Styela clava: one gene and its partners. The protein of the gene in region 1 purifies or fractionates together with the protein of each later gene. This does not show direct contact. Links are inferred from orthologs where the notes say so. Each region holds a gene or a part of one and is shown in the gene's direction. Other genes may lie near its edges. The genes, in order: DNA polymerase epsilon subunit 3-like, SWI/SNF-related matrix-associated actin-dependent regulator of chromatin subfamily A member 5-like, bromodomain adjacent to zinc finger domain protein 1A-like and cysteine-rich protein 2-binding protein-like.

The links.
Region 2: the proteins of DNA polymerase epsilon subunit 3-like (region 1) and SWI/SNF-related matrix-associated actin-dependent regulator of chromatin subfamily A member 5-like fractionate together in Drosophila melanogaster (co-fractionation; 4 studies listed by BioGRID, with this or other methods). This does not show direct contact. The link is inferred for Styela clava from reciprocal best matches to the Drosophila melanogaster genes Chrac-14 and Iswi.
Region 3: the proteins of DNA polymerase epsilon subunit 3-like (region 1) and bromodomain adjacent to zinc finger domain protein 1A-like purify together in Drosophila melanogaster (affinity purification with western blotting; 3 studies listed by BioGRID, with this or other methods). This does not show direct contact. The link is inferred for Styela clava from reciprocal best matches to the Drosophila melanogaster genes Chrac-14 and Acf.
Region 4: the proteins of DNA polymerase epsilon subunit 3-like (region 1) and cysteine-rich protein 2-binding protein-like purify together in Drosophila melanogaster (affinity purification with mass spectrometry; 4 studies listed by BioGRID). This does not show direct contact. The link is inferred for Styela clava from reciprocal best matches to the Drosophila melanogaster genes Chrac-14 and Atac2.

Annotation. Positions count from the first base shown.
Region 1 is NC_135251.1:20,534,595-20,540,375, forward strand, and holds DNA polymerase epsilon subunit 3-like, read left to right. Parts: upstream 1-4,187; coding exon 4,188-4,580; downstream 4,581-5,781. Other genes in the region: renalase-like, read left to right, coding at 2,105-2,832, 3,371-3,704; leucine-rich repeat-containing protein 42-like, read left to right, coding at 5,181-5,781. UniProt on the Drosophila melanogaster protein: Accessory component of the DNA polymerase epsilon complex. Participates in DNA repair and in chromosomal DNA replication. Histone-like protein which promotes nucleosome sliding of ATP-dependent nucleosome remodeling complexes.
Region 2 is NC_135260.1:16,354,030-16,362,622, reverse strand, and holds the start of SWI/SNF-related matrix-associated actin-dependent regulator of chromatin subfamily A member 5-like, read left to right. Parts: upstream 1-5,386; 5' UTR 5,387-5,473; intron 5,474-6,983; 5' UTR 6,984-7,102; intron 7,103-8,593.
Region 3 is NC_135253.1:143,790-151,812, forward strand, and holds the start of bromodomain adjacent to zinc finger domain protein 1A-like, read left to right. Parts: upstream 1-4,523; 5' UTR 4,524-4,631; coding exon 4,632-4,744; intron 4,745-5,737; coding exon 5,738-5,882; intron 5,883-6,491; coding exon 6,492-6,622; intron 6,623-6,794; coding exon 6,795-6,929; intron 6,930-8,023.
Region 4 is NC_135251.1:27,511,196-27,519,317, reverse strand, and holds the start of cysteine-rich protein 2-binding protein-like, read left to right. Parts: upstream 1-4,716; 5' UTR 4,717-4,786; coding exon 4,787-4,835; intron 4,836-5,494; coding exon 5,495-5,602; intron 5,603-6,022; coding exon 6,023-6,137; intron 6,138-6,253; coding exon 6,254-6,382; intron 6,383-6,747; coding exon 6,748-6,917; intron 6,918-7,332; coding exon 7,333-7,475; intron 7,476-8,122. Other genes in the region: nucleotide sugar transporter SLC35D1-like, read left to right, coding at 470-609, 838-906, 1,388-1,490, 2,006-2,166, 2,630-2,791, 3,230-3,317.

The DNA of each region.
Region 1 (5,781 bases):
AACTTTTAACCTGTTTGGACAAATCATCTTGGCAAATACATTAATGGAACACTATGCAGCTATCTGCTATGGTTTAACTTACTGACTTAACTGGAAATAATGCATGTCTGCATGTAAGGGAATGATTCTGTTGTTAAGTGTAAATGGTTTAATGTAGACTAGGTCTATATCGCTATTATTTCAGTATTTGTTATTTTTTCCTTATGTATTTGTACTACCATATTTGGGCCATTCCAAGCAAAAGTTGAATTCCATCAATTTTTTTAAGTCTAGTGAAAGTAATTTTTTGTATTTTTTTTAAATCAAATGACATTGGAATTTTATTGAACTGCATTCCTTTCACCGAAAAAGTTGAAATTTCACCCAGGTTTTGATGGTTTTAAAAATGGCCTAAAATGTAGAAATTTTGGTATAATTGACATATTTTGTGATGATTCCTGTTTTGATTGTGTGATACAGTTATTTCATATGGTCTAAATGGACTCATTGAATTTAAGTTAATAAAGTTTAAATGGTTGCAGTGCTGTAGGACATTTCTTCACCCTTTTAACGATTTATTACCATAATTTTGAGAGATGATAGAGGCCGCTGTTCCGAAGTGGAAAAATGTCCTGTGGTGTCACATACAATATCCACATTATTGGCATGGATTTACACTGTTACATTAGGGGAATTGAGCAACACATAGAGGGGTCCTTCAGCTACTGCACCAGAAAATATTATGGGCTCCTGCTGTACCAACGCAAAAATTTACAGCACAACATAATGTACTGTTAATGCATGGTGGATTTACCGTCCTGTAGTGTCACACTATATTTTACTATATTTTTTATATCCACTAAGAATGGGTGTGTCTCTTGGGTTGAACTTTTGTTGAATTTTTTTCCATATTCAATAAAGCAACTGATTGGACAATGAAACAAAACATGTAGCTGAAAATGTAAAAATATATTGCATCTAACAACATGAAAATTTTCTGAAATTGTCCTGTAGTGTCTCTTGGAATAGCCCATTTATGTAGCCTATTGCTTCATTAAAAATCATTGCTTTTTCATTAAATATCAGTTTATTATACTAACTCTTGGTCTGATTCTTATGCTCAGCTATTTAATATGCAACTATTAAAAAAATATATGTGGACTATATATTTTGAATAATCTGCCCTTGTATGATAGTAATTATTGTCATTAGTGCCCAATTGCAGCATTCAAAAAATGGACCTTTTCCATTTACTCCCACCCTGACTAATATCCATAATTCATTTCATTTTTTGTTTGATAATGCTGCAAATTTTTAGGATTTAGTCGATTAATGGTGAATGCATTGATAAAGATGAATGGGCCCCATAAAAAAAATAGTATCCAAATATTGAGGCGCAGTTCTTACCACTTTATGGCAGCTCCTGCCACAAACGAACCGCGGCAGCTCTTGCAATGGTTTTATAGCGCTTTTCAGTAATCAGTATTAACGGTATATTCACAAATTAATGTACCAGATTTTAATTGATCATGCGGAATTATATCTACTCAAACCCTAACCCCAAATCCATCAAAACTGTATCCATAAGAAAAACGTTCCAACTCACCCAATATTTTTCACCATAAGGGACAGCCCTTTCTTTACGACCCACCTGCCGTGGTTATGGCAGCAAAATTTTACCTGCCATTGGTTTTCAATTTGCTGCCGGGGTAACGGCAACCTGTCATTGGTTTGTGGCAGCTAAAAAGTCAGTCGCCATAGGTTTGGCCGTAGCGGCCATGGTATGGAAAAACCGCCATGGTTTTGCGGAAGCTGCAGGCGCAACAAAATACTTAAAACTGCACTTGCAAATATTAGTGGGGGTGGGTTCATTTTTTTCACATATTCACATTTTTTTTTTACTTTATGTCATCTGACATTATGTTTTAAATATTAAATTATTAATATTCATCCGTCCACCAAATGACAGAATTATGTGATAGATTATTCTTCAATATACTGATATACTTGCTCTGTATATCATCACCTTTTGCCCTATGATACAACTACAAGATATACATCTGACCAACTTACAGTTACAGTAATCACCAAATTGTTTTATCAATTACAGTATACAAATATTATCATGGTTCGAGTATTAATTGTTGGGGCAGGTTTAACTGGTGCACTTTGTGCTCATATGTTACGAAGGCACCTTCCAACACAACTTCAATGTCAGATTGTTGTTTGGGAAAAATCTCGCGGAGTTGGTGGAAGAATGTCTTTGTCAAGACCATCTGAAATGGAAGACTGTTCTGCTGAACTTGGTGCCCAATATGTTGAACAGCATACCAAGTATATTGAACAACATAAATATTTTTATAATGAATTATTGGAATCTGGAATACTGAAACCCCTTGAAGGCAAAATTGATGGTTTTCGTGAAGGGATAAGTGAGAATTTTACTTGTGGTGGCGGTTTAAATATGATGGCAAAACATTTTTTTGCCAAATCTTTGGTAGAAACCTGTTTTAACGTTAGACTGGACAGTCTGAGACTTACTAGCGATGACCAAGAAGCAAGTTGGAATGTATGGGAGGCTGCAACAACCAGTGGAAAGCATGATCACTTTGATGCAGTTTTTCTGACAATGCCTATACCCCAGATTTTAGGAATTGAAGGTATTACAGACAATTTGCAGAAGCAGCAAATTTCAGATCTTGAAGGGGCAAGTTATTCCTCCAGATTTGCAGTGGGGTTGTTCTATGAACCTGGTGCTTATAATATCGATCTCCCCTATGTTGCTAAATTTGTTGTCGATAATGAAGTTATCTGTTTCATATCTGTTGATCAAAAGAAAAGAGGAATCGAAAGGTGAGAGAAAATATGATTTCTGATTGCTTTTTCATGTGCTTATGCGGTGATGGATGTTGCCAAGAGTCTGCGAGTGATACAATTGTTTCTAAATTATGGATGACATGGCTTTTATTAATAAGTCCAAAAAACATCTTGTATGGAATATTTTAGTGTTTTTGTGGTGATATTCGAGTATTGAATTTGAATTGGCCATCCCTGTTTTTATGTGCGTAAATCACTAAATCAAACTATTTTTTTCAGAGATGTAGTTAACACATAAATTTATAAAGTCGGGGCCCAGTGATGAAATCTTTTTTATAACTTGGAAATGATTTCTGGAGTATGATTGGGTCTATTTTTCTAGTGCAATATTTATTTAAAATTTGCATTTCTCCCAAGGGATGCATTTTCTTGTCTTGCTTCATAAACAAGTCTTGTTTTTCATGCTACCTTTGATTATATTCAACTATCATGTAAACTTATTTTTTATGGTGTCATCCTTTTGTGCTTCAATTTTTTGTTAATCTTTTTAATACTAGCATTTATATTTTTGAAGGAAAACTCAATCTATTGTTGTTCATACTTCTGCACCATTTGGAAAATCACATTTAGAAGAAGACGCTGAAAAAGTTGGCCCACTCATCATTGAGGAACTTAAAAAAATTATCCCTGATCTTCCAGAACCTACCTATGTCAAATATCACAAATGGAGATATTCTCAAGTCACCAAAGCAACTGAATCTTCTTATGGATGCTTGGTACCAAGAAATAAACCTTTGCTGGTATTGGCAGGAGATGGTTTTACTCACTCTAACTTTGATGGATGTGTTCAATCTGCTATAGTTGTTGAAAAGGAAATTTCGAAATGGCTTTCAAGTAGTGTACTGTAACCTATTTACAAGCAAATTTACAATTACTTAATTAAGATAAAAAGTGCATTTCTGTGCTTTTTCCTTTACATGAAAGATACGGTATTCATGTACAGACCAGTGGTTTTTTAATCGGGATTCCTCGGAAGTTGGCAGAACCCTAGTACAGCCCGGGGGTTACGCAAGTTCACATTACCTATTTGCAACTATTATTTTCTCCACTAAAGTTCATTTTGATTAACAGTATTTCGTTCGCTCTTATTATATTTATAGTTAATACAATTTAGACAATAAAAGACAGGGTTCCTCCAAGTTTAATAAAAACCACAGGCACAACCCTTTCTGGTTAGCTCTTCAAATATTTTGTGCACTTATTATGCTTTGCTGTTTCATGCTTTTATGTGACTTCACTAAAAACTTACCATATCTTTCGTTAACTTAATAATGACTGATCACAAATTTTCCCATTTTCAGGGATATAGCGCTATAAATAATTTAACAAAAATGGCTGAAAAACCAGAAGATTTGAACCTTCCTAATGCAGTCATAGCGAGAATCATGAAAGAAGCTCTTCCTGAAGGAGTGATCGTTTCAAAAGAAGCAAGAGCAGCAATATCAAAAGCAGCCAGTGTTTTTGTTCTTTATTGTACTTCTTGTGCTAATAACTCTGCAATGCAACAAAAGCGTAAAACTTTGAAAGACATTGATGTCCTATCAGCAGTTGAAGAAATGGATTTTGAAGGCTTTATACCAAGCTTAAAACAAAGTCTTGATGCATTCAAGGCCGAACAGAAGGAAAAGAAAGAAGCATCTGAAAAAAGGAAAAAATTAATAAAAGAAGCTCAATCTGTAGATGTAGAGAATGAACCCGTGACTGAAACTGTTGTTGTTGAATAATTCTTTATTATAATAGTACTCAAATTTCTGGCGCATTAAACTTGATTCCAGTTATTCTCGGAGACTTGCAGACTTGAGTGAGATCTTGTTTTAGTTTCCAGCCATGTGGTGCGCCTGCAAACTCATCAGAAAATCCCAATTCTACAACGTGAGAGTGCCTAGGAGAATAAAATTATATTCTGATTTAGTGACTGTGCATCCTGGTATCAATAACTAACAAATTAGTTTTTGTAGAATGACTCCCAATTGTAAACTACAAGTTCATTTATGTGATAAATGTACTATCTTGTTATTATACTTTGATTTTGTTTGTTTATAACAGGGATGTCCGAATCCATTTTTCAAATTAATTATATTTAGTATTTCCAGTTCTCCAAAAATTATCGTTTGGGTATTGGAAGTCCTCAAACTTTTGATGTTTAAATACTCTTTATCCTTACTATTGCGTACTTCCAAATTTTCTCCTAATGTGTTCTTCGTTGAACGTGACACAATTATGTATACATTTAATATTTGAAAAGATATTTTAATGTGTATTTGAAAAGTGAATTTTTCTGACCATCCTTGTTATGTTCGATCAAACTATATTATATTGGTAGTATGTATGTTGCAAACCTGCCCACCTTTCTCATTTCGTCACACTGCCCTGAAGCAATTATTGCACCTACTGCCTTTTTATCAATACCAGTAAATAATGTTGATCGATATACAATTTACTTGAAAAGTTTTTTTCTCACCTTTTTTAGATTATTTCATAGAGATTGTTCAAATATAATGGAAGGTAAGATATACTTCAGATCTCGTTCTGGTATTCAATCTTTGAAACATGTAGCATATACCTCTGATGAAATCGGAGTTAAATATCATCAACAACTCTTAGGAACAAGACATCTTGCTATCAAGAAGAATGCTAAGCTCCAAAGAGAAAATCAAAGAAATAATAAAGATTGTCAAAGCGATGTACAAACTTTATATGAAATTTGCATGGCATTGATTGTCAATAATTTAGACCATGTAGATTCTTTCTATGGTTTGCCTTCATTGATTGGTGAACAGATATTTGATGAAGCTTTGGAGAGTGATCGATTTACCAACAAAGAATTTGATGTTACCAAACTTAGATTGAGTATTTTCATGGACGCATATGGTAATGAGATGTTTCAAAGACTGAATTTAAGTGGACAGACGATGTTCTTGGCAC
Region 2 (8,593 bases), on another chromosome or scaffold:
GCCTGATGTGGATCTCGTTTTTGAAAAAAATTGGTTGTTCAGGCGATTGCACAATAGATATAAGTGGAAACAATTGTTTTTGCCTGGTATCCCAAAAATGCAATAACCTCCACGGGGAAAATTTCACCTGAGTCTTCAGTATAGGACGAAGAGAAATTTAGTTGATACTGCCGTAGTCTGTGTACCAGGTTGGCGTTAGGCCATAACTTTGTTCTGACTTTTCTTATTTTGGTTCTATTAGGAGTTCGGGTACTGTGTGTGTTACCCAAGTGAATATACCCTTCAGTCCTTTTACACAACTTGATGTAAAGTAGGGCGAACAATATTATTTACCTCAATATTGGTACACACACTTCTGGAGCGCCCTTTAGGACTACCGGTATGTTTTAGGTATATCTCGGGTAGGCAGGGGCGGATTAAGCCTCTTTGGTGCCCTAAGCACTGAAGACTTTGGTGCCCCCTCATGTGTAATTTAATTATAAAAACAACAAGAGAGCTATGCTCAAATATATGGACACGTAGCGCCACCCAATGGCAATAATTTTGATGACGTCATAGCGAAAAAAAAAGTAATAGCCTTCTGGAGAAAAATTTTATCTTCAACCACTGAAAATTTCAAAGCAATTGGTCCAGTATTCGAAGAGAAAAGCGACTTTTTAAAAACGTGTCAAAGAACAACAACAAGGATAACAAGAACAAGAACAACAACAACATAATATTGAAACGATCGTTATGTCCACTACGTGTCCAATAAACCACATAAGTGTATTATCCATTAAAAATAATCACAACCAACAGTAAATAAAACGAACTTTACGAACCTTTTCAGGTTTTTTAACTATTATATATAGCCGATATATATATTGGCCGTTTACTGCCGATATTATATATATGCAAACACGCAATATCGGGCCGATATATCGGTTGAGCTCTAATCCTGAGGGAGTGTGACAATAAAGATTCATGCCTCCAGTCTCAACGTGAATCGAAATGCCAAAGGATACAAGTCACAACTGTAGTTTGAAATTTTACCGGTACCTAGTAGTCTACCTCAGAGTGGTTCAAGGTTGCTAGGTTGAAGGACCGCAAAAACTTTTGACGAGGTCTCGCGGGCCGCAAGTCGGAGAAAACCAAAAGTGATCAAAATATCGCGAGTTTACTTACTTTAAATTTATTAAACAACGAGATCTTCTAATCAGACTATTATTAGGTTGCATGGTTGGCGTTCGTTTTCATGGTTTTGGCCAGTTTTCGTCTATTTTACTACCCAGTGCGCTGCATATGGATGTATATGCGACACTTTGTGGGTATTCGGCAACGACTAACATACCAGATACAATTGTATTCGAGTATTTTTGGAGCCTGATGTGGATCTCGTTTTTGAAAAAAATTGGTTGTTCAGGCGATTGCACAATAGATATAAGTGGAAACAATTGTTTTTGCCTGGTATCCCAAAAATGCAATAACCTCCACGGGGAAAATTTCACCTGAGTCTTCAGTATAGGACGAAGAGAAATTTAGTTGATACTGCCGTAGACTGTGTACCAGGTTGGCGTTAGGCCATAACTTTGTTCTGACTTTTCTTATTTTGGTTCTATTACGAGTTCGGGTACTGTGTGTGTTACCCAAGTGAATATACCCTTCAGTCCTTTTACACAACTTGATGTAAAGTAGGGCGAACAATATTATTTACCTCAATATTGGTACACACACTTCTGAAGCGCCCTTTAGGACTACCGGTATGTTTTAGGTATATCTCGGGTAGGCAGGGGCGGATTAAGCCTCTTTGGTGCCCTAAGCACTGAAGACTTTGGTGCCCCCTCATGTGTAATTTAATTATAAAAACAATAAACCACATAAGTGTATTATCCATTAAAAATAATCACAACCAACAGTAAATAAAACGAACTTTACGAACCTTTTCAGGTTTTTTAACTATTATATATAGCCGATATATATATTGGCCGTTTACTGCCGATATTATATATATGCAAACACGCAATATCGGGCCGATATATCGGTTGAGCTCTAATCCTGAGGGAGTGTGACAATAAAGATTCATGCCTCCAGTCTCAACGTGAATCGAAATGCCAAAGGATACAAGTCACAACTGTAGTTTGAAATTTTACCGGTACCTAGTAGTCTACCTCAGAGTGGTTCAAGGTTGCTAGGTTGAAGGACCGCAAAAACTTTTGACGAGGTCTCGCGGGCCGCAAGTCGGAGAAAACCAAAAGTGATCAAAATATCGCGAGTTTACTTACTTTAAATTTATTAAACAACGAGATCTTCTAATCAGACTATTATTAGGTTGCATGGTTGGCGTTCGTTTAAAGAAGATATATAAAGCCTTCAGATATTTTAAAGTTAATTTCCGAGAATTACCGTTGTATTTTGCGCATCTCGCGTTTAATGTCGCTTCAAATTATATTCTTTCGTGACAGATATTACTTGAAATCAAACACTGCGTGATGGGCAAGGAAATACATTTCCGCCGTGTTCTCTCATGTCACCTTTCTTGCGACACTCATTTTATTACGAATTGTTATATATATTGAGTAATTTAGAAACTTGCAGCGTGAGCAAGCTTAGTGACATCGTCAAATACCAACCAAGTCAGTCTAAGTTTGTTTTCTGGACCTAGCTAAAAAACTGGATTACGCGGCGTTAAGTCGGCTCTGCGTTTCGTCACTACTGTCACATGGCCGATGCTTGTAAACAGAGGAGTGTTTTGGCACAAAGCGTTAGAAAAAGGGTTTGAATTTCGGGATCCCAACCCCAGTTGGAATATCTAAAAAAAAACGTTACTCCATTACATACAAATATACGCTAAAATTGTTCTGTGAGCCGCACGGAATGTATCAGCATGACAGAGTTTGGACCACCCTGGTCTACCTTATTAAGAAACTCCCGACTTTGCTGACCAATATATCGTTGAAATGTTTGCGGAATCGCCATATGGTGGCAAATTCTGATGACGTCATAGCTCAAAATAAAAACGAATCTCATAAAGCTCACAGAAATATTTGAAACTAATAAAAGTAATAGCCTTCTAGAAAAAAATTCCATCTTTAACTACTGAAAATTTCAAAGCAATTGGAATTTTTAAAAACGTGTCAAAGAACAGGAACAATAAGAACAACGACTATATTGCGGAAAATGGCTGTAATCCAATCACAATGTTTGGTTGCATTAAAAAGTACTCCTATTATAGCGTTACAATCCCAATGTAACGAAATGCCTTTACATATTATACATTATAGAAAATGTCTACATTACAAATGCAGAATGATTCCTCGTGACAGCGAAATTACAGCACAATTATTCAAACAGTCGTGGGAAGAATATTTTTCTTACAAACCGTCATTTGCAACGTTTATTATGAAAACAACCAACAGCTTTTTTACCAACTTCTTTGTTGCAAAAGTTGTCAATTTCAAGATTCCTTAAAGCCACCGCAAATTGATACAACGTTAACGATTTATGGTACAACATGTTCACCAACAATACTTCAAACGTCATTTCTTGACCATATACACGAAAAACTATCGAGACTATGTACAAGTATTTACTGACGGTTCGAAAAATCCATTTGGCGTAGGTGCTGCATATTATGTGCCTCAAGCGAAAGTAGAGAAAAAACTTAAATTACATCATAAAAACTATTAATATTCCGGGGCGAAAAAAGTTTGGGAAGCGCTAGCTTAGGGTAGGGATAGTGGGAGTAAGCCGCCAGCAATCCTCTGGTACTAAATTATCCCCTACTGGATTTGAACCTGCGAATCTAAGCGGGGTAATCTTAGGTTAGAAATCAAGCGTAGTCCTAAGGCTTAGTACGATGCGCCACTCAACGCGAACGTAGTCAACTGCAGTGCACTGGCTGACATAGATACTAAACACATTAATATACGTCTATACCCTTACGCTGGATGACGAAATCTCAGGATTGTTCTTTATGGCCGTACATACCTGTATCATGATCGCTTTTTACCAAGAGGTCTACTGTAGAGACAGACTCAAAGTGCTTCATACAGAACTATAGAGTCTCCGCGAACTATTCGTTTACTCAAAATGACATTAATAAAATTAAAGAAGAAGCAAATACATCCGAGTTATTGAATAGCGTATTTTCAAATCACTCATTAATATTAATCTGTAAGTAACAATTTGTTTTTGTTACGTTCTTATTGTGGGGCTCCGTAAATAGCAGTCTACCTCTTCACGAGCTTCATAACACCAAATATGTGAATCAGTCGTTGTCGTCGGTATGCACTTGTCTTGAGCAGTCAATTGTCGTATTTACTTCACATAGAACCGTGGTTAATGCTGTTGCTGATGTTATATCTCTGCCGTTTGGTTTGGGCGGAGAAATTACCTTTACTGTAGGCCAGGACCGCACCTAATTATTTATTTTGGATCATTAGCCCCAGTTTTTGAATTTCCTATTATACAATGACTTTCATAGTTTTGAATATATACGAAAAGAACTATAACACCATAATAAACAATTTTAATTTGCTACTAACCATTAGTCGGTCGAGGAAGTGCCCGTTTAAGGAGGCCGAAATATCATTTCTGGAAAGACCGGACCCAAATAATTTTGAAGTTTTATTTGCGGACCTTCGATAAAAATAGTTGAGTAGCCCTGCAGTAGGCATCGAAACAACGTCCCATTGTGACTCCACTTTTAAGGACATCGCCGTCACGTTATTGTATGAAAACATTCTTGACTGCGAAAGTCAATGAGCTAAGATTTGTACGTTAATTTAGAGAATGCATTGATATAACGCTAAACACGCCGTTATTCTTTCATGGAGTGGAGGGAAGGTTACATTTTTGATGACATCCACGTGCGCGTTTACTCGAAAAACAAAACAGACAAATATAATGGAAATGCTGGATTCTTTGTACTAAGCTCCCGTCACTGATGTAAAAATGTGAGATCTGAGATAAACGGTTCCATTACATTTGAACCCGTGTACATTTGAACCCACGTACATTTGAACCACGTACGTCTGAACCCACGACAATTGCACCTGCGTACTATTGCACTTATGGAAATTTAGTTGTTTTACGGATATTTGTACATGGTTCAAATGTACGTGGGTTCAAATATACGTGGGTTCAAATGTACGGTCACCGAGATAAACACCCCCAAAAATACTATGAACTAGGTATTATGCGATCAGAAAATGTATGAAGCAAATCCCAACCGTCATCTTCATTCTGCAACTTTGAGATCACGCGTTAGAAGCGTGATCGGACCGTAACGGCAACCTGGAGTAATTAAAGTAATCAGTTAAAAATATTTGATTACAACAATCAGTTAGCTTTTTTCGTCAAATATTTGTGCGCGGGAAGCCACAAGCGACATCGCAGTCACAAATGTTCGTCGTAGGATAAGGTTTGATTTTGTGTAGAATGTATGGACAAGCTGACTGTTGGGTTATGACAGCGAGTTTGAAACAATATTCAGGTGAGCTAAATGTTCTTTAAACCTATTGTTTTCATTGATATTCCATTGCTTTCATTTTTCTATTGTATAAGTGGTAAATTAGAGGTTTTCGGGCCTATACGAATTGGAATTATTAACCAAATACAGAAGTCTAGATTGGTGGGTGATTCTCTTTTGTATCGAACGGGTTCCATCGTTTCCTCAAAACTGGTTGAACTTAAAAGCTATATGACAATACATAGACTTATCATATTAAGAAACTTAAACGTAATATACTGATCTACGTCGCTACGTAAGCTGCATTCAACAGGACAAGATTTACATGAATGTAAAGCATAACTTTCAAAACTTTCGCAAATGTAGCGCAAAATCAATGGTTTATTAGAGATTCGCCGTAGCCTTTTCCCTTTCATATTTTATTGTGTATAGGGTGCTCCCAGAGTATTCGTACCAAGATGGCGCACATCCTGAACACAGTATGTGTACCTGGTTAGGGTTCAGGTTGTGCACCATCTTGGTACGAATACTACCGGATCGCCTTGTATAGATTGGATCTTTGTACAAAGACGCTATCAACGTTCAAAATAAGAGAATTAATAATTATCCAGTTTAAGTTAGCAATGCAGATTGCGCTGGGAATTCAATTTTAAATCATTCCTAACCCCAAATGGATTATTAATAATATGTCATTTTAAAACGTGGCGGGAGCGTTGGCAGAAGATTTGACTTCCGACGCCTATTTTATTCCTGTACACCACTGTTTTCGTTTAGAATGCTAAACAATTAGATGCAAGCGCACCGCGTCTCGGGTCTTGCGATCAAAGTCGGCATTGCCACTTATTTGATCGTGTGTTTTCCCTCAAAATTGTAAGATTTATATTTTCACAAGTTTTAATAATTGTCTTTCGAATCAAAATTCCAAAAAAGTAAGACCCACGTTCACGTTTAAAAGGCTAAATAGTTCGATGCAAGCCAACATTGTTACGCTGTATATTTGATCCTGTGCATATCGAAATTTAAGATTTAGATTCTGTACATGTTTTAATAATTGTGTTTTAAAGCAGAAGTCCGAAAAGTTCATTGGGTGTTTTACTTTTATTCTAATATTTGCAACTCGTGCAGTTTGAAAACTACACCTGGTATGTTATAAAATATGGAGCTGTATTTATGAAATTGAATGATTACATATACCTGTAACTGTAAGGTCGATGAAAAGCAATTTCTATGTTAATCTATAATATTTGAAATTTAATGGCAATCGCTGAATAAATTTTATTCGTCTAAATTTTCTTAGTTTTGTGTATTTAAAAAAAAATCGGAGGAAAGTTTGGCTTTTATGAAATCTAATGTCGAAATTTACCCGTTACGTATTTTATTGAAACTAACGTCTATTTTTTGCTTTGCAGTGTCTCTGTCAAATAACATTTGTCTGAATTAACTACCTAATGACATAGTTGGCTCAACGAAATTTAGTTTAACTCAAATTTAGAATTGGCTTGCACAAAATCATGACATATATATTGATTTTCAGCTTTTTAAAACACTGCTTGAAAGTTGACAGGACAATTTATCATTGTAGCAAAAGAAATTCGTCAAGTACCAGCTTTTCATCACTGAGTGAGATGGAGGCCTATCAAGTCTGAAGATCAAGTATGTAACCAAATCATTTGAAAGCTTTTCAATTTAGATGTCTATAGTATAGATTAATGATATATTGTATTTTTTTCGGAAAATCTACATACAAATATTACTTTCAATATATTGAGTATAAGTTTTGGTTTGTGTGTCAAATAACATTTTCTAAAAATTACAACCTCAAAATTTCATCATAACATGATTCGCACAACTACCGTTTTATTCTGGCTGCTGAGTCGATCCAGTGAATAAGGCTAGGGCCATGTTTTAGAAATAAAAATTAAGCTTTTTTTTCGTTCCCGCCCAATAGCGGGTAGGCCACTACAGCGCCAGGCTACGCAAAGTACTCACGGCGATAAAATACGGCCAGATATGGGCAAATAGGGAATCGATTCCAATAAGCCATCTTGGCTAATGTTCTGTGGTCGTTTTTGTTCGCTTTCGACTGATATGTTGGCCATATTATTAACCGAGACTTACGCATATTCATATACCTGCCAAAATTAGACCGTATGGTGGGCTGGGGTAGGATTAGCGTTTGATATATAATGAGAAACGAATCAAGAACTTGCGAATATGCAAAAAAAATCGACGCAAATAATTAATTCCTGTCAAATCCCATAAGAAATGCATTGCGCGCATCGGAAAAGTTGGAAGCATATCGTCAAAACGAGAGAGGCTTCATATGACCCCGCGAAAACGAGAGAGAAGCACACTCTATATTTATATATCTCTGTGGGTTATATGGTCCTTTCCCCGACCTTTGACCTCCGAAAAATTCTTCCTATAGTTTACCATTGCAAAATGTTCGGGGCTATTTTAAGAGTGCTTTTACGAGTTCGCGCCTGTGAAATGGGATATGTGTTGCAAACCATCATTATGAGTCATCGCATACAACAATCTGTTTTTTAAAAGTACGGTGAAGAATTTTAGCCTAGTCTATCATAGCTATTTCTACACTGATTTTTTTATCACTGCAATTAAATTAAAATTCCTAGGAAGACAGAGTGATCATTGAATTATCTAAATTATATTTAAGTTTCCGAAACACAACTGAAAACTAACGAATAGATTTCGAAAACGCGAAAACGAGGTAATGTTTACGACCACGTTCGAAAATATGTCTGAGTGAGAAAAGTATTTGAGCGGATGCGAAAAGGAAGCATTGTTACGTCACTTTTTGCATCTTGCTGATTGGCCAATGTCACGAGGTAAACAAGGAAGTCGATGCTCGGGGAAAGGTCCATACACCTCAATGGTATGAAGTTTCCCTCAAGCATCGATTTCCTTGTTTATTTCCGTAACAATTACTAATCCGCAATAAGTTAACAATGACGTAGCATTTAGAATTCATGCCGCCGCTCAGACATTATTCAAGCGTAGTTGTAAACATTGCCTTCTTTTGGTAGTTTTGCGTTTTATTCGTTATTTTTAGTTGGGTTTTCAAAGAATAGTCGTAAATCAAACAACTTACTTGCCAGTACCGGTATGTCATCCAGGGATATT
Region 3 (8,023 bases), on another chromosome or scaffold:
TCGGTTACGGCTTCCTCCACCACCAAGTCCATGCTTCCGAAAACAAACAATACAGTAAATCTAATCCCATACCCGACTTGGAATGGTAACCGGACGAGAGGCCGTGGTTCGCCCTATGGATAAGCCGTCTTATCGGCTTTCCTCTCCCCCGGGATAAATATGTAAATCCTATCCTCCTAATCCTATCCTATCGTTATATGGTTATGTCCACTAAAGCAGTGGTCGGCAACCTTTTTTAAGTGACGGACCGGTAAAGCCTGACGAAAATTTTAGTGGACCACCTTTTATACAAACGAACTATGCTTATGCAATAAATTATACGCGTTAGGAAACTTATGTTGACAATATACTAAAAAACGAAAGCCATGCTATTTAATGCGGGATCTGTTCCAATATTGGAGATATGGTCGACACCGACACATGTAACGTGTTTCATACAGCCTACTTCGATATTTCGTTTTTTGTAGTTATCAATATATATTGAAAACCAGGCCTCACATTAATAAGATGGTGGGATAAGTAACAATGCCTGTAAACCTTCTGTCTCTAGTCTGGGTATTGATTGATGTTTGATTGAACATTTGATTTTATTATTGTTTGTTTTGCCATAACTAATTTTTTACCCGATGTGCATGTGTTAACTTATGATTATCCTGATTCCTAAAGTATAGAATTAGCACTGACTAGTCATGACCGGTTAGCTATGAGCAAGTAGTGGAGTAGTCACTAGTCACGTTCCTAGCGAGAATCATTTTGTTCGAGAGATCTTATTCCAACTGATGTGAGACTTTCTTATACGGGCGTTGAGGAAACAATTGACCCAGCGTCAATGCGACATAATGACATGGGAATTGTTTGTGAAGTCAGACATGCTGCTGAAATGCGTTATGTTTGTCTGGTTTAGTGCTTTTTTGATCGTGGAGTATGTGGTTAGACTGTATAGGCTTCATTAGGGCCTTGTCCGTTTCTGTGTCACTTCTCTGCGGACCGGTAGTAACCTTTCCGCGGACCGGCGATGGGCCGCGGCCCGGGGGTTGCCGACCACTGCACTAAAGTGTTCAATAAAGAATCTTTTAATGGGTCAAGGGTCGGGGAAACATCCATAATTATTCCGCGGCACATTTAGTGTGGTACGGTGCCAGTACTGGCTACTGTTCTTTTTTAGGAATAAGAACTAATTGGGATAAACTAATCCCATTTTTTTCAAATGTCTCCATTGTACTAAGATTGGATGTACTCGGAATAGTGTTTTCAAACTCTGAACCATGCAATGAGAACTGGGAAAACTGACTACTGAATAATGTGAGAACTGTAATAAGTGAACTGAAAGACATTCCGGTTCCGTTATCGCTCGATGGAAAATGTCTTTTGGTCAAATTTAAAATTTTGCCCTTAGTCTTATATTGTGCAAAAGTATATTCTATCCCATTGTATATAGCAAAAATAATTAATGATATTATTGAGAAGTTTGTATTTGTTTTGTTCACGCTTTGTTTGTTTACCAAGTAAAACAGAAGCTCATCTAAATGCTATTATTGCTGTACCGGTATTGTATTAAAATTGTTTTCAACACTTTCGCTCATCAAAATTTATTTATAATTCTACAAGTAATCTTTGCCTGTGAATTTTACTTTCTCGTGTTTATGTACATGCCTGCATGCCTTTTATTAATTTTCAGTATAATTGCTGTGATGTGTTTTCTACTCGTGTGAGTGTGGGTAAATGGGCACAAATGCTTGCAGCGTTCGCTATAAACCTTTCTCGAGGTTTTGCCCATTTTCCCGATCTTATCGTCGCCCTTGTCTGTTTTTTATTTTGTGTTTTGTCTGTCTATGTTGTCAAGTTGTAGACGAAAGATCGAAATAAAATTGTATTGTATTGATGCTGTAATGGTAGAAATACCTTCAGACCTTTGGAATTGATACATACTGACATAGGTGGTTCATGTACAGATGTACCGTAACTGCTGGTTGGTTACGGCTTCCTCCACCATCAACATTCAACAGTGCAGCACACTATCCAAATTCCAAGAATTTTCCTCCATTTGGTTCAATAAAACAAACACTCAATGTGTCTCACAAACGAGGGGCATCTAGCACCGCGTCATATCGCGCCATGCTTGTCTCAATAATACTCTAAATTAATCGCGGCCGTCACATGACCAAGATTGTGATAAAATTTTTTTTCCTTCGGTAAATCGGATTATTTTTTCCAGAGAAATTCAATGATGACGTTATTAGATTGCGCTTCTTCGTAGTATTTTGCACAACTTCATTATACTGTATTTTTACCGATATTGAGGGACAACAATGACCAGACGTCTCCCAAAGGAGGGGTGTCTGATCATTGGTGAAATGGGTTTCTCTGAAACGAGACAATGTCACCCAATCTGTATAGTGTGCCGTACTGAATAGATTCTATGCAGCCATAATTCTGTAATTACTTTTCTTCGACAATATAACATCACTGGAACTGATTTAGAACAAGGAAAACATCGTACAATATATAAAACAAATAGTAAACGAGAATATCGGTCGGAGACCGAAGACTTATCGATTGATACTGCGGTTTCGATTTATGACTCTATAGTGACACCGCGTGTCTCATCACTAATTTATCAATAACTCGCTAATTATACGACATAATTCATCCAAAATCAATAGGCTTCTTGTCCGAGATATGGTGAATGCACATCCAGACATCCAGAATTTGGAGCAGATTCAACCTCGCCTTCGTGAGATATCGTGTTCATCTAACAGACAAACAAACAGACAGACAGAAAAATACCTATCAACATACTAACCGATCTTAAGATCGATAAGTAATAATTTGAAGAGTGGTGATAGAATGGTGTTTCTTAGAGATGGTAGTTTGGTAGGAGCTTGTTCAAACATACATTCAGACATTGTTTAAATATTGGCTAATAATATAAAAACTTTTAATTATAATATAAACTAATGTGGGACATTCTTTCAATAAAAGTTAAACCAAGGATTAGACATATTAGTGGAAATGATTTATTTGTACTTACTTCTCAAGAACCAGAGTTTATATCTCATTTATTTTGGAACTGTGTTCTTACACAAAATGTGTATGATTATGTTTTTTCTGTTGTAATGGAAATAAACAATTGTAAGTTGAAAAATATTTATAGAACGTGTATTTTTCTAGAACTAAATAATCAGTGTTTTTCACATTTATTATTAATTGAACGTGATGCAGTCATACTTCTTCTGTGTACTGCAAGATATAAGATATGGTTGGAACATAATGCATTTACTTTTGAAAATGTTGATCCAAGTGTTAAAAATGTCATAACAACCTAACAAGAATTAGAAAATCTCTTTCAGCAAGGAGAAATATAGAACAATTTAGACAAAAACCTAGTTTTATAAAAGAACTTGACGTAATATGCAGAAACCTATGACTAATTCAGTATTTGTATAAATTTTATTTTTCTGCTATCAATAATTAAAAAACCTGTAAAATAATATATATTTACCGATAAACATGGTGAACTTCATCTGTAATCAACAATGGAACACTATTAATTACTGGACAATACTGGATGATGTTTATGAATATATGTGTTTATTATATGTAACCAGGCGCGCAGACAGGCTTACAAAAGTGTTTCGATTTTAGTGATGGTATGTTCCTAAACGCGACCTAACATAATGTGTTCCGTAGGTCGCGGTGGGTTTGGTCATAGGGGCCATGGTTTGGAAATCCTGCCAGGGTTTTGCGGCAGTTCTAGACGCCACAAAATACTTGAAACTGCAATTGGTAGTTTCGGTACATAAACCACATTATTGCCTAACGAGCCTATGATAAAGTGGGCGACGGGGCTTCATAATCAGTTTTCATCAATCATTTTATTGTTATAAGATTTGCATATTTAACCCGGGGGAAAGGAAAGCGATAAAACGGCTTAACCATATTATAGCGAACCACGGCCTCTCATTTGGTTACCATTCCATGCCTGGTATCAGGGTATGGGATTACCTGCCAACCCACGCAGAGTGATTGATCAGAGACTGCAAATGCTTAGCACGATGTCGATGAGCCATACCACCGCGCTATTATTACACGTAGGCTACAATAGGGCACAATTCTCCAATTCCAAGATGTCCCAACATTTGGGTAAAAAACAACGCACTTTTTGTCTTTGACACGCGGATATCTGGCATGACCTGACGACGTCAGATCGCACCATGCTTGTCTTGATAATAATCTAAAATAATTGAGGATGTTACATGACCATTCCATATTTTTGCTAAAGTCTCTCGAATGCTGTGGTAAAAAATTTCCATTTTGTGTATCTGATTATTTTTATAAAGGCCCAGACTGTCTCGTAGATGAGGAGTTTGCATTCACTATTGTAATTGATGTTTCTCAATGTGGGGGCTATTCTTGGAATCCAAGAAATGTGTCGAAGGCCACTGAAGTATATTTTTGCTAAGTTTTGCAGGTCTATGAATATAAATTACTGAGTTTTAATTCTTTGTTTGGAGCAGTTATATTTGTTGTGTTTACTTACAGAAATTTGTAAATTACATAATTGAGTGATTCAATTCTGACTGTTACATTTTTAATTGCCATTTACTGCTGTACAATAGACAGATAAAGGAATGCCACTTCTCCACCGAAAGCTGTTTGTTCCAAAAACACCGCCTGAAGTTCCCGGTAATGACCATGAAGTTTTCTACTGTCCTCTTACCAAAGAAGCTTTCACTGATTATGAGTAAGATTTCTCTCATGCAGTCATGTTAATTTTCTGGTTTGGTATAATTTAGTTACATGTACTTCTAGTTGGCCTGGCTTTTTGCATATGTCATTCATAATTCTAACCCCCACCTGACTACATCACCAAAAAACTACGTCATTACGACGTCACAGGGCCGTAATAAAATCCTATGAAGTATACGGATGGTCGTCCAAAACGCGCAGGCGATCATAATTTTCTTTGTTTTCTCGTCACAACTATCACAATATAAGAGACATCGCCGGCGTTAGTTAGTTTATTATCGATGGCGCAGATGCCATTTGGGCGATCATAACTATCCTTTGCAAGCTGTATGATGGATTGTGATGTCGTTGTGACATAATTTTGGGATGGCATAGTCCGGTGGTGGTTAGGAAGAATAACTTACGCAAGGTTCATTATGCTTCGCCCATTGGAAGTACTTGTGGTACTAAACTATTCTAGACCAACTAAAAAGGCCGATACACTGATATTCCAATACTATATATTTATTAGCTCAAGTGTGCAGGGCAAAAGAGTTAATAAAACAAATAGTCTTTGAGCATTATTCATAGTGAATATTTCAGGTTGAAAAAGCGATTCAGCTGGTTTGGCCGATAAATTGCTAAAAAAAGGTCAGAATCCTATTCTCGTTTCTACTCGTGGGGGAGGGGGTGTGCATGACCCTTGTTCACGATCTACCCAAGAAAAAAAAATAGTTTTAACATCAGTATTATAGCTTATTTTATTTTTTAAAACATTCTAGATCATAATAAAAAGCTAAATGTATCGGAAATATCAGTCTACATTTAGCCGATACCAATACACTACCGATATCGAAAACTTGGTCGATACCGATACATCTCTATAACACATGTGTCTAAATCAGATTTAAAAGTGGTGTCTTTATGAAATTTAGCAAGTAATTGTTAATTAATTAATTAACAATTAAAATTAATTAGTCTTTTTTATCGTAGCAAAACTTTTTTCTAGGGAGTTCTTTGATCGAACCATTCTGTGCAACAGTTTGGTATGGAGTTGTTCAATCACGGAGCGAGGGAACATGACTTACCAGGAAGCACTTGATTGTGAAGAAGAGGCAAGAAAAAAGTTCGATAAGTTTCCTGAAGGTCTTCAGGTTTGTTCATTGGAAATTTTATTTTTTCGGTTCAGGTCAAATATTTTTTTTGAGAATGGAACTGATTTCAATCATCTAATAAAAATTTCTTTGTGATAAATTGAAGAATTCAATATACCATATATTTGATGAAAAAATGAAAGACAGTGGTGAGATGCTGTGCTGGAAAAAGCCCTGTGTTGGAATCAATGTGGTACTGGTTTTAAGTTGAAGCAAATGTAGATGATAATGTTTTAATTTAACTTGTACGATATCATGGAAAAAATCATAATTTTATTTTCGTTTTGCACAGTAATATTTTACTGGGTGACAAACCTATGTGAAAGCAAAGGGTTGCCTAAAAACGGAACCTATAAATTCCCTAATTACCTCCACAAAACTGGAGTAAATTATTTAACCTCGTCTACACTTGAACTTCAGTTTATATAGGATTATACCAAGAGGTTTCTGATATCTAAGCACATTTTTAGTGCGATCAGTTATGCGCATATAAGCCAACCCCTTAGTTTAACTTTCTTTTTTAGTTTTATTAAACTTGGCTTACATGCAAGAGTATACGGTAGTTATTAAATATTATTGATATATGACATTGCATGCGTCATTTTTCAGAAACCAATGTTGCTTCTTGTAAACCTTATTGCTCGATCTAGAATAGAAATTCTGAATGATACGATCTTTTCCTTTATCAAGAAGCGGTACTTTGTTGGAGAAACACTGGATGTCAAAGTCAAAACAAACAAGTGGGTGTTTTTTGTTTCTGTTGTTATACTTGTATTTTGCAGCTGCAAATATATAAATGTATAATTAACAAATACAATTCTAGAATAGCGATTTGATTGTTGTTTACTTGCCATGTTGGAATGTTCAAAATTGAAATCTAACGTCCATGATTATTTTTACAAAATTCTCCAGATTTGAAATGTGTCGTATTCTGGATGTTATTCCAATCAAGAAATCTAGTGACTCTGCAGAAGCAGGGATGAGTAATGGTCATACAAATGGCGAATTGTCAACTGATGAAGATGATGATGATAAACCACTTGCGAAGTATGACTATTTTTTCAAAAGTTTTACATAATTATGTCTTCGATCCTCTTGCAGTTTTTCTTCACATTCTAAACTAAACTGAAACTCACCGGAAGACATAATGACAATTAAAATACTTCATTTACAACTAATTTTCGGAAACACAACTAAAAACTGACTAATATAATGCAGGGCAGTCCAAATCGAATTTAAAATTCGAACATCGCGAACTTCAAATACTTTTTTTTCGTGTTTATAGGAATCCCGAATATGGCGCACATATCCTAGCGTCGTCGTCCATGTGTGGTTCGGCAATATATTGCAGCCGACATGAAAGAATTCCGATAAGCGCCGCACGGACTTGAGGAACTTATGAAACATCGAGGACGTTTTTGATTGAAAATATTTTCTTATCGTATATTTTAACTTAGTCAAGATGGTTTATGCATCCTCGACAAATTGTGTCCTTATTAAGTGTTTCCATCCTCAGTTTCGATAGTGACCGAACATAACAGGAGATTTTTTCAATCTAGTAATTTAGAGCGAATAAAATAGCTCCTAAATAGTATTTAATAGCTTCTCTATCGCGGATTTTATTGGCATCCACGTTGATGACAACATCGTTCAGTTTAAGTTGGCGGTATTCATTTACAAACAAAAATACATAACAGCCAACATGAACTATTCAAATCAGCGCAGAGTCCAAAAATAAAACTTGTTTTACGGTCTTAAGATACACATAGAAAGAAGAAAGGACAGAACGGCTAAAAACTAACAACAGTATGTTTGTGTACTTTTGTTCACCATCGTCATCATAATCAAATAAGTGAACCCGATCCCCAAATTTTGGTCCGCCAATAATGGAGAATTAAGACGGAAAAACGTGTTTTATTTTTCGAGCCAGCGCTGATTTAAATTTCTCGTGTTATGTGTTATAATTTTAATTTTGAATATAAATCAATACCTCCAACTTAAAATAAACGATATTATTACCAACGACGTCGAGATAACGATAAAATCTCCGATATAAAGTAAATAATATTTATCTATTTTATACACTCTAGATTGCAAGAAATTAAAAAAAATTTTGTTATGTTCGGTAACTATCGGAACTG
Region 4 (8,122 bases), about 7.0 Mb from region 1:
TTATTTTCATTTGCCAACTATATCATGATGCTGAAAAACGTAAAAATGATGCAATACCGAGTTTTTGCAGTGACATATTTATCACTGTCTTCTTGTCCTGAATATGCAGACTAACAATACTGTGTTTGGGGCCGACTGCTTCTATGTGTGTTTTGCAAGTGGACTCGAGTACTACCTAACAAGAGAGATTTCAACGCAAGAGAAAATGCTATTCTATGATTAATAAATTAGATATTCAAATTACAAAAATCGTCGCATGGTGCAAGGATGCTTAAACTGAATTGCATTAACGGATCCTCCAGATTCTGTATTTTGATTTTTGAATTGCCCATTCTTAGTCAAGTCATTGCAATAAGATTCCAAATATATAGGAGTGGAATAGTTATGCTCGCTCACCTTATGCTTGCTCACCTAGATGTCACCCATGCTCTCCACTATATTTATTATCCGAATCTGTTTTTATTTCCAGATTTTTCCTCTACCTCTCATATATCTCGCCAACTTGATTGCTGGATTGGGAGGAACGAAGAAACTAAGTCTTCCAATGTTTACTGTACTAAGAAGATTTTCTATTTTGTTTACATTGATATTAGAGTTCTTTGTACTCAGGTATATCTCATGTAGAAATATTTTTCACTCTGCTTTTGTTTTAGTTTTTGTGCCTCATTCAAAATTTGGCATTACTACATTGTATTGTGATTCGTAGTATTAAAAAGTCAATGTACAACTTTCCCATATAGTCTCTCACTATTAAATTTGGCAATATGAAATATTTTAGTAATTATATCAAGAATCTGAATGTATTTGTTATTGACCCTTTAATTCCTATAATATTAGGAAGAAAGCAAGTCGAACTGTCACCTCAACAGTCTTGATGATGATTGGAGGATCAATTATTGCTGCAAGGTGAATCAGGATGTTGTTATAGTTTTATAGTATATTTAGTTTGTTTCTACAAACAATAATATAATGTCATATTCATATTTTGTTTTGGTGATTGATATCATGAATTTCCATACCGTGATAGGAAAGTAATTTTTCTAAATCAATTTCAATATGACTGACATACCTACTTTTACTTCTAGTAATTAGTGTATGATAACTGTTAAACTTGACAATGTATTATCTATAATATGCATTGCAAATACATTTAGATTTGCAATAATTGAATACATTGTGCATCAAAAAATATAATAGGGTACCTGGCACGGAGTAAAAAAAACGTTTTGAATGTGTTCCAACTTGTTTCAATTACAGTTTGGGTATAGTTTTATACAAGAATTAATATTAAATTTAATGATAAGTACCTTTTTATATCTGATTATTTTTTCGTATATATTTGTATAATTTTGTATTCAAGTTGATCTTACTGATTTTCTATTTTTAGTGATGATCTTGCATTTGATTTGGTTGGATATACGTTCATTATTGCTAATGATGTTTTCACAGCATTAAATGCAGTTTTTATGAAGAAACTTCTCAATGCACAGGTATCTGAAATTATGCATTCTGTTGTGCATGAAAGTTGTTTATTTAAAGAAAAATTGTTTGCTCCCAATTTTAAGATATTCTAAACTTATTTAGATTTGGACCCAGGGAAAAAAATTCTGGTATTTCAGTTTTCATCACTCAAAAAATTACCTACCGGTAGTTGAATTGAATTGCAGGGCACAGTTTGTTATAGGAATTTTTTTTATAATAAATACTTTTCCGAATCTCTTACCTGATCTGCTTAGTCATATATATTAATATATATTCAAATATAAATTGAATATTTGAAGCATTGTTGTGAGGAAAATGTGTTTTATTTATCATTTATTCTCTGTTCAAACCTTTATTCCACTTTCTTGTAGTATAAATCTGATACGCTTTGTTCTTCTATCTCATTAATTGGCTCTTACTTTTCTATGTATAAATATGTAGGCTATATGTGTGTATTTTTTTTACTTCAAGCTAAGCTCATGAATTAAACTATGTTATGACATTCTTTTTCTAAAATTTTCAGGATCTTGGGAAGTATGGCATAACATATTACAACTGTTTATTAATGCTTGTTCCAGCTGCCTGTATTCTTTATTATACTGGTGAATTAGAGAAAGGAATCTCCTATCAAGGATGGGATGAATTTGCATTCGTTTTCCAATTTCTTCTCTCATGCGTAATGGGGTGAGTTTTTTGTTTGTTATATGTCATTGTTATCTAAATTAAAATTCGCTACTAAATACTTTTGCTAACAACTCTTCATATAGCTAATAAGTCCCTGAGATGAAAACTATGATCAATAAATCGCAAGATTGATTAATTCTTGATAAACTGCATAGGCATAACATGTGATACAAACTCGTTTTGAATATACTGCTCATCCACAAAATCCCCCTCATTTTCACAATAACAGAAACTCTACTTGATAAACAACAAATTGATTATTTGAACTTAAATTCCTAATGATATAAATACTTTGCAATGTAGTTAATTGATCAGTGATTTAATATCTTTAGTTTACTCATTCTTTGCATTCATTCAGGCATTGAACTCCTTATCGATTGGATTGCATAAACTTACAAACAAACAAAATGATTAAATATGATTGTACCTTTTATTACTAATTAGATGACATTGCTTTTTTCAGGTTCATCTTGATGTATTCAATAGCAGTTTGCACAGCTTATAATTCCGCATTAACTACAACTGTGGTCGGTTGTTTAAAAAATATCGCAATAACATATTTTGGAATGATGTTTGGTGGTGATTATTTATTTTCTTGGATCAATTTTATTGGCGTTAACATAAGGTAGGTCAGCGATTAAAGTTGTTTCCTTACTATTCTATAAAGCATTTATTTGCAATAATACAAGGTGACCCAAAAGAAGAGAGCGTGACTTTTGTGCAAACATGGGGATGCTGACTCTGGTGACAGTATGGTCCTATCGCTCCCCACAGTCTATACCAAAAAACTTTGTGTATGTTGTAGTATATTTTCATTTTTGTTGCAACTTGTGATGCTTGTTTTTTCTGGCTGACAAAATAATAAATCTCTCTTATCCTAAATTACTGAAATGAATTGCCTAAATTACTGAAACAATCATAGACAAACAAACAAAAGTTGAAATTATTTTTAAGCATTGAACACTTTCATGGGATTAAATGGCTTCGTTTTGTACATTTCCTATATCTTATTTCAGAACCACCATCATTGTTGAGTTAAAAAATTTTTTTTCATTCATTTCAGTGTTGTCGGCAGTATCGTTTATTCAATATTTACGTTCAAAGCTCAACAGGAAAAGAACAAACCAAAAAAACAACCACAAAGTTTATGATGGAAATCTATTAATGAACTATTTTTATTAGTTATTTTTAAATTGAACTTCAAATCAAATCTTCATTGCACTGAGACATATCCAACTTATAGAAATTATTATTTACATTTGTACTATTAGTGTATAATATGTAGGTGCATATCTAGGGGTGGTTTTGTAGCCTAAAATGAGTTTAGTTTGGAGAAAAAAATTCAGTTTTGCGTGAGATTTATTATTCAAACAGGTTATGTTTAAAAATCATTTATTGTATAGTATTTCAAAATTTAAAGAAAAAATATTTCCGATTTAGAATATTTTGACATGATAAAGCTGCTTAAGCTAAAAGTGCCACCCAAATATATAATGAACATTGTTACGATTTATTTTTATCTAAGTACAATTCTAAAAAATGTAAAAAGATTGTGTCCAATAAGTTAAGTTTTTATTAACTTCCATTAATCATTTGCTTCATCTTCAATTCTTTAATTTTTATTGGTTTTGTGCCTTGCTTATACTTGCATAGTGGTCATTGTTTTCTTTCTATGCTTAGGTGCTGATGAGAGAATTTTTAATTTTATTGTTAATTCCAACTGCCTTACCAATTTTTCTAAATATAGAGCAATTGTTATGTACTATTTAACTTTGATAATAACTTTATATAAAATATATTATATCAATATGGCTGGCATCGTATTGATACTTCTAAAAAGTGTCAGTAAAATCTTTGTAGATTTGTGTAATATCATCAACACTTCATTTTATACCTCACACAAGTCAAACCATATGCTTAATATGATATTTATAGGCATAGCTATAATATTTCTGATGTGATATGGCATGTAGTATAACAATATTCTCCTGCATTACACTTAATATATTTATAATTATTATGCAGTATATCGTGCATCTATGTAAAAAAATATTGGGAAAAATTTAATTTTAAAGTATTTTTAGCAATCTAAACAATGTGTTAGCTTTTTGTTTTTGACCAATATTCTTAATTAAGCTGTCTCCTATTTTGTGATTAAGATGATTGCCATGGATATCCATGTCTGAATAGTTATGAATGGTAACTCAGCGTTGTGTTTTGGTTTTGGATATTGTTGCCATCTAGAATTCTTCCTTTCAATTAATTTTGATTTCGAGAAATCTAACAGTATGATATTTTCCCACTGTTTTATGACACTGCCGTTCTTATTGAGTTATTGCCAAAAATTGGTCTCAAAAATCCTTTTTGATATTCAAATTCTTATTACACAAGTTTTAGGAGTTCTTACACTACCCTTTTCAATAATCCATGTAAAATGTTCATCCTTTTGTATTGAAAATTTCTCGTTTCTTAATAGATTTGGTGATAAAAAAGGTTGTAGGAGAGAGCTTGTTCAATTGTAGATTAGCCACTGTTAATCTGTGCACGTAGTTCATGTTTTTAACACTTCCAATTATTTATTATCTACATGTAGTTAATATCATTAGGCTAAATCGCAACAATGTCTGACCAAGAACAGATAGATGTAACTACAACAGAAGACGCTACAGGTTTGTGCTGTATAATTTAAATCTTACACGATTGTTTTCATACCCTAGCCAGAGTCTAGGGGATCCAAAATCGGAATTTGAAATTCTCACGCAACTAAAACGGTCATCATGATTTCGCCACTCAATAAAAAGCTGGCTTTTTCAGCGGATTATGATTTGTCCGTTGCGCAATACATTCAATTCACAACCGATACGAGCATTTAAAATGTCTTGTCCTGTTAATGTAATTGTGTTCAACATAACTCGAGGTTACGTTTTTGCACCCCTCTGGCTGCGCCACAGACTAGCCTCTAGTATCAATCAGTAATTGGTAGGAATTTTTAATACTTTGTAACTAATTTTGATGTTCAGTTTAGCTTGATGTTAAAACATGTTCTATTAATTGAGCTGGTTATACCTACACCTTCTTTTTAAAACTATCTTATTATTGTTGCAAATGGTACGCGATCCCCTACACTTGTAAGTAGGGTTATGGAGTGCTCGCAACTTAGTCCAATTGCACTTGTCAATGGCTAATGTTTATAAAGCTGAAGCACTATTCATATCTTGGTATCCTACATCAGTGATTTAATGAATATGACCCAGCAGATTTCTTTACTGATCCATTCATGTCATGTATGAATTTCTGTGTTTTGTATTATATTATTTCTTGTTCTTAGCAGAGCCTTCTACAAAGACAACTTCATCAAGATGTGGATATTGTGATTGTGAAAAAGAAGGCTTACCTGTGTTTCATTGCAGTTCTTGTGCTAAATGGGTTCACACAAGTATGTTGTAACATATGGGTTTTATTTTATACCGTTTTTGATTATAAAATGAATGTTTTTTTTTTCTTAAACATGAAGAAATATATAACATACCGGTAATTATGTAAAAAGTTTTATATGGATGCTATTCAAATTGATGTTTTTGAAGATTGCAAATTTGTGTTATTGATTTGTTATTATATTTGTTCAATATTCTTATGAGAAACAGAGATTGGGTATATTTGTTTGGAATGTATTTATTGACCAACTTTTTTTAAATGCATCCCAAAATAGTATTTTTGAAACAAAAAAATTGAAAGTTTAACAAATATGAGTATGTATTCTTGAAGGCATGAAAGTTGAGATGAGCAATGATTTGAGTGTTTCTTTAGAAGTTAGCTTTTGGAATTTTTCGTTAATATATTCCATTCTCTATGACAGGCTGCCTTCGTTCAGAATCACCATCCCCTCTATTGTTCGATAATTACTACGTATTCAAATGCATAAGTTGTTCTGAAGATGGAAAAGAAAGTTTTATTAGAATGAGAATAACATGGTATGGGAATTTCATTTGATATTTTGTAAAAACATTCATCCAATTATTTAGCAAATTAAAAAAAAAAACAGTTTCTATTTATTATATTATTTATGTCACCAAATTAATTTTGACAGGAACCAGGCAACTGCACTCTCTCTTTTTAACATGGCCCAATCTGATCCTGGGAAACAAGGATTTTTCAAATGGAAAGAAGATATTTGTGATTTTGTTGAAACTCATTGGGATGTATTGTTCGAGTCATAGTGAGTTTACCTTATAAATTTTGTTGTCAAATTTATTCCCATTTAAAATATTAGATTTTACAGAAAAAACTGAAGAGCTGTAAAAAGACAGGTATAAATGTTTTTATGCAGCTTTTTTACGGCAGACTTTGTACAATTAGCCACTGGTACATAAGGAGCTACTGTTTTTAGAAGGCTCGAAATCCTTCCAGTTTGACATCACCGTGAGGTGTGGTCTTAGGGTGGTCTGCATGACCTTTAATTAATTTGCAACACCAATATTTCTGTTGCTTATAGGCTATTGTGCCACTTCCTATTGAAATACTTCTGCAAGGATACTTATAAGAAGATTTTGCAAATAATTTTGTGTAATATCACGTTATCAGCAGGATGAAAGTTGGGGCTTGGATGAATACCATTGCATCAACCATGTCAGCTGGCAACCCTCATCAATTTACAAGTGGATATGGATTTTTCAAGGAATCAGGATGGTGGAAACTAACTGATCCTACCAAACCCCCCGAATACACTCCATCTAGTGATTCGAGGTTCAGAGGTATTTTAATATTTTTTTTTGCTCATCGATTTTGTCGTGTATCAGATCATAAGTCAACAAACAAATTCTTTCAAATAATATTTTATTGTCAACAATTGTCGGTACCATACTGCTATTTGCTATTTTCTCTTTGTTTTATTCAACAAAGTCTTGCTTTGTAGTTAAAACAGCACTGAGGTTAGAAGAAGACCAATATATTCTGTAATATAATAATTTGTTGATTTAATTTTGCCAATCCAATTATAATATTTTTTATTGATATAGAATTGCACAGAGCTTTTAGAACTTTTTTTTTTTATAGAACAGCACTTTTACTTATTTCAATTACTGACTGATTTATTGATTGACTGTGTGATATATTTAATAAGGTTAGCCAATGTTTATCAAATCATTTGTTTATTATTGTTTACTTTAGAAGGAAGATCAAAAAAATTTAAATCTGGATCAGCAATGACTCCTTCACCCAGTCTAGGACGAACAGAAGGATTAAGAAAAAGATCTTATTTGTCATCTGCGTTCAACGCCTCACAAATTAAAGAGAAACGAGCTAAAACACAGGTAAATGCGCAGAGCTGAACATTGAAAATATAAAATAATGTTTCAGTAAAACAGAGTAGGATTTTAAATAAAGTATTCAGTAAATTCATGAACTATGTCAGATGTTGAAAGCAAAAATGATGCTGTTTTAGCTATCTTTTATTTGCTCTTGACGGTTAGCAAGTAGTCAAAGTGGGCGGAGTCTATATTTGTTTTGGCGTTATCCATGAAAATATCTTTTCATGAGGTTACATCTGATTTCAGAAATTTGTAGTAGTATCAAAAGATTCTCATATACAAATAGTTGGGTATTCCAGAAATTAGTTTAAAGTGAAATTGAGACAAAATGCTTCAATATACTCAGTAACAACTAGTTTTCCATGAAAAATTCTGATTATTTTGGAATATTATTCCACACTTTCGCTCCGAACAAAGCTTTTTTCAGACAACCATTCTCACTAAATTAAATTATTTTGAACTACTTTCTAAGAGGAGTCCGATTTTAGAATGTGTGTTATTGTGCTCCAGTTCACCTTTCTCAATTCTATGTCCTATGCATGCTTACTGTCATGGCTTCTGATTATCTACGTAAATTACAAAAAAAGTAACTACAGTAACTAGGTTACAGTGTTTAAACTGTTTGATAGCATGTGCTTGTTTGATTGATG